2 linked regions of the Ovis aries genome follow. The protein of the gene in region 1 interacts with the protein of each later gene in a pairwise test. Links are inferred from orthologs where the notes say so. Each region holds a gene or a part of one and is shown in the gene's direction. Other genes may lie near its edges.

What was found.
Region 2: the proteins of SUPT20H (region 1) and MAPK14 interact in binary tests that used the Homo sapiens proteins (3 or more experiments, as listed by UniProt). The link is inferred for Ovis aries from reciprocal best matches to the Homo sapiens genes SUPT20H and MAPK14.

Annotation. Positions count from the first base shown.
Region 1 is NC_056063.1:24,945,280-24,949,106, forward strand, and holds part of SUPT20H (transcription factor SPT20 homolog), read left to right. Parts: intron 1-606; coding exon 607-665; intron 666-1,117; coding exon 1,118-1,184; intron 1,185-3,610; coding exon 3,611-3,740; intron 3,741-3,827. UniProt on the Homo sapiens protein: Required for MAP kinase p38 (MAPK11, MAPK12, MAPK13 and/or MAPK14) activation during gastrulation.
Region 2 is NC_056073.1:10,163,453-10,166,570, forward strand, and holds the end of MAPK14 (mitogen-activated protein kinase 14), read left to right. Parts: intron 1-952; coding exon 953-1,126; intron 1,127-1,308; exon of another isoform or gene 1,309-1,390; intron 1,391-2,103; coding exon 2,104-2,171; 3' UTR 2,172-2,443; downstream 2,444-3,118. UniProt on the Homo sapiens protein: Serine/threonine kinase which acts as an essential component of the MAP kinase signal transduction pathway.

The DNA of each region.
Region 1 (3,827 bases):
CAAAACTCAGTTTTAAGAGATTTTTGTATGTGACTGTCCAGGGCATACATTAATATTAGGATGAGTATACTGTCTGTAAATATATATATAAGAATACCAGATGATGTTTGAATCATCTGTTACTTGGACTGCTCAGATAGTAATGCTGTGAAATAAAAACTGAACAGTATTGTGAGTTAAATATTTGAACAAGGACATAGAGTTTCTGAAACTGTTTTCTGTTTTAACAAATTTTCTATTTGCTTAATTAAAGGGGAAGTAACTCAAATATATAGAGTCTTTGTAATTGGGTATGCTATATATATTCTGAACAACTATAAACATTGAAAATATTATTGACTGTGAAATCACAGTGGTGAAATGGTATGATTTTGCTTATAAATGCAAGTAAATATTGAGCTAAATTTTACTGCAGTTTAAATTTCACTTGTTTATTACATATATTTAGAAGTTTAGTAGGTTTCCCTAAAAGGTATGATTTAATATGCATGCAAGACTCGAATGACTGAATAGTCTTTAGCCTTACACATGATTTAAATATACTTAATGCAGTTGTTCATGCACTAAGCAAAAGGCCAGCTGTTTTCTTAAACTTTTCTTTTTTAGTATGTCATTGAAAGTGCCCGGCAGAGACCTCCTAAAAGGAAATACCTATCTAGTGGAAGGTATGAATACTTAATTGATGGTATCATAGATATGCTGAAATGTGATGATAGCCTCCATTTGTTTCTTACTGGACACTGAGCTAGAAATGTTGTATCTTGGGTACTTTGCATATACAGTTGACCTGTAAACAGTGTGGGTTTGAACTGTGCAGGTCCATTTATTTGCAGATGTTTACAGTAAACACTTCTGTACTTAATGGTTGAATCTGTGGATGCAGAGGAACCACAGATACAGAGGGCCAGCTATAAGTTACATGAGGATTAACCTCCATGTTGTGCAGAGGTCAACGGTATTAGTAATTTCTAAATTGATGTTAGCTGCCACGTCCAGCCTCTCTTCACCACCCAGTTTTTGGGAAATTGTGGGGGAAATGACAGGAAAATTCAAAATCTTTATTTTATGAGTATTGTATTCACAGTACTCTGTGTGTTTTGTCTTTATTTTATTTTAGAAAATCTATATTTCAAAAACTTTATGACTTATATATTGAAGAATGTGAAAAAGAGCCTGAGGTTAAGGTAAGTATAATTTTTTTATATTATTATGGCTTTTGAAATGAAGTGGAAGAAGGGAAGTTTGAAGGAATTAGATTTGAAGCAGGTAGCGGTTTGTATTTTTGTTAGTGAACAAATATACTACTTTCTAACCAGACTACCTGGTTCTGTAGCTGAACCAGAGCTCTGGCTAATCTGGTACCAGGCAGATAGCCTACTTGGGTAGGAGAGGTAAGCAAACTCAACTGTTTACTGAGTAGCAGACTGTCTCATTAGGAAGTTAGAAGAAGCAAAACCACCATGTATATTGTCTTTTGCTTCTTTTTCTTCCTGAGAAGTTATCTGTGGACCAAAGATCAGGAGAAAAGTTACCTATCTCCTCATGGTAATTTGCACTGGAAAGTTAAAACTATTGCAGGACATGTAGGAAATTTAGATAGACGATAATAAAAGGTGAATTTGGTCACAAAAATTAGTTCATGGCCAAGTTAAATTTATTTTTATTGAGCATGAACATATGGGCAGTAGAAATATAGAAATTGATTTCTTGATATTTTTTGGACCCTTGGGTTGTAAGGGCCTTAAAGGCTCTAGTGAGCTTCTGTTGTGTGTCTTTAATTTAAAAATAAATACCTCAGGCAAAAAATTAGTGGAATTCTAATAATATCTGTTTTAAAATATTTAGGAAAAACATGATTGTGAAACCACAAGTTTTATGGCATGTTTTCCATACATTTTATTGGGGAATAATTGACCTACAATAATTTGTGTATGTTTGAAGTATGTAACACATTTTGTAAGTTTTGACATGCATTGTTTTTAAAAAAACTGAGTACATTTGAAGATCGAATTGGCCTTATTAAAAGACTCATGAATTGAACAGTATCTCATCAGACAGAGATACTCTGAGGAGTTACACAACATGGAAGAGGTATATTGTTAAGGAGGGCAGGACAAGGAAAGAAAGTCATCAGCAAGGAAAACCTGAGTTCACTGGAGGAAAGTAAAACTTGAGGAGATGCTGGCTTTTTGTTGGCTGAGCTACAGGTGTTTTCCATTGGCTGGGCTGAAGTCCTTTCCCACTCACAGAGCTTGTTGCTGGGCAAGAAGAAAGTCTTCCCCCAGTTGGGGAAGGAAAATAGTTGCATTTCCTATTGAGGAGTGCAAGGTAATTCTCTTCCTGGTGGGGTAATGGATGATGAGTGGAGGAGCAGGAGAGTTCCCTCTGCAGGCCTTCCCCACTCCAGTTTTAGTTGAGGTTTCCTTTTACTAATTTTCACATTATACCCCCATCAGTTATCACCACAGTCTGTACAGTGAGCATACATAGAACTAAGGTAGGAGAGGTACATGAAAGATTCCAGATTGCTGTTGACAGCCACTGTCTACCAGCCGGGTCCGGCTCACGGCATGTTTTTGTAAATGAACTTTTACTGGAATCCAGCAACACCCCTTTTTTTATGTCTTGTCAATGGCTGATTTTGAGATAGTAGCATAGTTGAATAGTTGCAATGCAGACCTTATGGCCCACAGGCTAAAGTGCTATGTGGTCCTTTAAGAATAAAGATATTTTCCAGCTTTCCATCACAGTGGTTAAAAGTTGCTTTGCTTTTTAAATATATATTTATTATTTTCAAAATACAGTTTTTTGTTTCTATGTTGACTATAGATTAAGAATTCATAATTTTTTGCATATGACTATATATACATGTTGAAAATAAGGTACTCTAAACAGGCTTGTTTTTTGAGGTCATGAAAAATATTCTATTAACTGATACCTTTCACAAATAAGATTTGATGAAAGAAATTATTATATTCATAAGTGGGTTTCACTTTAAATTGTATGAATTTCTAAAGAATGGATTTTGATGTATATATGTTTCCTGATAGTTTTCTGTTTTTTGGTTTTGTTTTTTTTTTTTAGCAAAGTGGTTTCTAGGAAGCTGTTCAATTTACAGAAAATTACTTAAATCACTTTCATCCTCTTAACCAGTTGGATATCTTTGAATTTAACATTTAAGCTAATTAGAGCTGTTGAGCTTATTTGGATCTAATTTAGGCCATAAAATGTTTAAGAAAAGTGCTCTGTAACAGTACAACCAAAGAGAATGCCTCATATTGTTTATGTACATTTAAACTTAATAGAAACTAACTATACATTATAGCCTCTTTAAAAGAAATTTACATTTAATGGTTTTCCTTTCTAAATATTTTTAATATTTGCTACTTGTGTATTCAGGTACATATATTTGTATTTAGGTGGTTTTATTTTATGGATCACTTTTTCTTGGTGATATTCATTTGCATAAAACAGTAATAGATCAACATTAATTTTATATAGATGTGGAAGAAGCATCAAAGATTAACTAACTCAGGTCTCGTTTCGTTAAGTGATTGCATTATTTGAAATTATGCTGGATTATTTTCACGAGCTCTGCCTCTTTCTAAAGCAGAAATTAAGAAGAAATGTGAACTTATTAGAGAAGCTTGTTATGCAAGAGACATTGTCATGTTTAGTGGTCAACCTATACCCGGGAAATGAGGGATATTCTCTGATGCTCAGGGGAAAAAATGGATCAGGTAAGACCCTCCAGAGGGCAGCAGCCACGAAACTGCATCTGTTGGGCAGCATGTGTTGTCTTTTAGAAGGAGCTTCTCATCCTGCTG
Region 2 (3,118 bases), on another chromosome or scaffold:
TGTGGTCATTTATTATTTGTCCTCCCAGGTGCTACCATTCTGAAACTCAAAACATCATCATTTATAGAAATTAGATGGGAAAAAAAACCACCCACGATTCTGTGACCCCCCCAGCTAATGACATAGTTGCTGGGAAGGAAGATCAATGGATGCTGAAAGCTATAAGTGAAAGAAACTGATACTCGCCTAGTACTGCCAGGGTGCTTGCTTAAGGTGAAACAGACACAGCTTAACCCAGTGATCAAATTCAGCATCACTATTAATGGGACAGATGGCCTTAATGTACCATTAAGTACACAGCATCACCTATGAAGTATTCTTGCCAAAAATGTTTAACCCAATTCTTACCAACTTTTAGATTTACCAGGGTTTTCAGGAAATACAGGGGATAGAGGAAAGCAAGAGTACAGATAACATGATAGCACAAGACAGTTTTGTGGGGAGTCTTTTCAGGTCAAAGCTAGGAAAAATGAGGGTGAGAGGCAGGGGCGATTATTCTAGAAATAGAAGAGACTAAGGAAACTCAACAAAATGCAATGCATGGTCCTTAATTGGATCCTGGCTTGAAGAAGTTACTAGATATAAAAATCACCTTTAAGATAATTGAAGAAAGCTCAGTGTGACCTGGATTTTAGATGATGTTTGGGGATTATATATTTTTCAGATGTAATTATGATTGTATAGGAAGCCATCTTTATGGTGAAATATTTATAGGTGAAATTGCATGTCTGTAATTTTATTTTAAAATGATTCAGTAAAAAATGTATGTATATATAGATAAAGATATAAAGTAAGTAAAAAAGTAAAATATAAATAGTATATCTCAGAGCAGATACTTTGGAGAATGTTTGGGTATGAAGGATCGAAACTCCGTGTGTGCTTAATAAGGCATAGATTTTTGGTAATGTGTTAAAACCTCTTCTCTTTTCCTTCCCGTCTGTGGTATTGCCAGCTGTTGACCTGCTGGAGAAGATGCTTGTATTGGACTCAGATAAGAGAATTACAGCGGCGCAAGCCCTTGCGCACGCCTACTTTGCCCAGTACCACGATCCTGATGACGAGCCAGTGGCTGATCCTTACGACCAGTCTTTCGAAAGCAGGGACCTCCTTATAGACGAATGGAAAAGTAAGTCATAGCAGGATGAACATCTGTCTACCTTTTTGAGAACCTAGCTTTAAAAATCTTTCCTAGGTGAGCCACTAACCAAAAGCTGTGAGGGTGGGGGGAGTTTTTTCTGGTTGTATCCAACGCGTTAAAACTTGCAGTGGGGGTCTCTTCCGTGGAATGAGTGTGTTCCTCTGTTGTAGATGACGCCCCTCTGGACCTTTGAGATGCTTCTGTCTGGTCTGATTTTGTGCACAGCCCCTCACGTCTGCATAGAGCTTTGAGGTTCTCAGAATTTCTGCATTTATACTATCTCTTTGAGCTAAGTAGGGATTAGGGAATTTTTACAGCTTTGCAAACAACAGAACTTTGCAAACAATGAAGAGCATTTATATCTTATCTCTTAGCTTAGACCTAGTTAAGGATACGGCCAGAAATGGAACCCAGGTCTCCTAGACCCAGTCTCATATTCTTGTCATAAAACACAAATCCAGAACTTGAGTTAAATCCCAAAGCCAGGATTATCTGTTGCTGTAGCATGTGGGGGACTTCCCTGGTGGCTCAGCTGCTAAAGGATCCGCCTGCAATGCGGGAGACGTGGGTTCAGTCCCTGGGTTGGGAAGATCCCCTGGAGAAGGGAAAGGCTACCCCCTCCAGTATTCTGGCCTGGAGAATTTCATGGGCTGTATAGTCCATGGGGTCGCAAAGAGTCAGACACAACTGAACGACTTTTTACATTTCCCAAATAATTGGTTTGCTACTCTTAAGTATCTTCTCCAGAGAGCTTTAAAGAGGAGGCACTGGATGACCCCAAAATTGTTCTTTTATATGCATCCTTGAACTTTTGGGTCATCCCACGTTCACATACAAGCAATGAGGCCCGTTGAACCAGTAGCCTGGACAGGGAGGAAAGGGTCTTGAGCTTAGAAGTTAGGGTGGCTTCCCAGCAAAGTGAAGGTCTAAACTCTCACATCCTGCTTTTCCTTCCTGATTTCTAGGTCTGACCTATGATGAAGTCATCAGCTTTGTGCCGCCACCCCTTGACCAAGAAGAGATGGAGTCTTGAGTGTCTGGTTTCTATTCTGTTGATCCCACTTCACTGTGAGGGGAAGGCCTTTTCATGAGAACTCTCAAAATATCTTTCAAGTGCCTCTTGTTGCAAAGATTTCCTCCGTGGTGGAAGGGGTGTGTGTGTGTGTGCGCGCGCGTGCGTGCGTGTGTGTGTGTGTCTGACTTTGTGGGAGGGTAAAACATGATGAGCAAACTATCACAGTGACTCTGTGTGGAGTGACAGATGCTCCGTGGTGGCCTCTGCTTGCTCTTGTTCGTGAGAGGCCGCGAGGCAGGCAAGAGCGGCCACCTTGTATGGTTTGTTAAAAGCAAAGTAAAAAAATATTAAACATCCCAGACCCTGGTCATGCTTTTGCCATCTTGGCCTCTCCTGTGGCCCCGCCTTGATGCTGAGGGTCGGCTTTGGCCACATCCCACGGCAGCAGAGAGAGAAGGCTCACACCTCCTGACTGCTTCACATGGGCGCCGTCCCTCATTCTCTGTCAGCCGAGAAGGACCAGCCGGCTCCTGTGCACTAGGCTGTGACTAACTTGCTCAGTGTGGTTCTCGGAACCCAACAGGTATACCTGAAACCATTAAATATGTTCGTGCCTTAAAAGGAGAGGAGAAAGTGTGGTTAAGAGAGTGCAGCAGGTGAAGTTCTGAGCCAGGCAAGTAGTCAGGATGTCGGGCGGCCACGTGTGAACCCAGAGTAGCCAGGGCGCCTTCGGAGGCACCACGTGTGCGTGTGTGAGCATGCGTGTGTGTGCTTCCCTCTCTTCCTCCCTCGCCCCGCCCCGCCCCCAGGTGTCGTTGCCATTCCTCTGCATACCCCCCTTCAGTGCAGAGATTTCTTAAGTACTGGCCTCAGTAGTCAGAACCTGGTTGCTGCTGTTGGTGTACCTCCTGTGTGCTCTTCATTCCTAGCAGAGTGACGATCTGTTTTGCACGTCTTGCTATTTG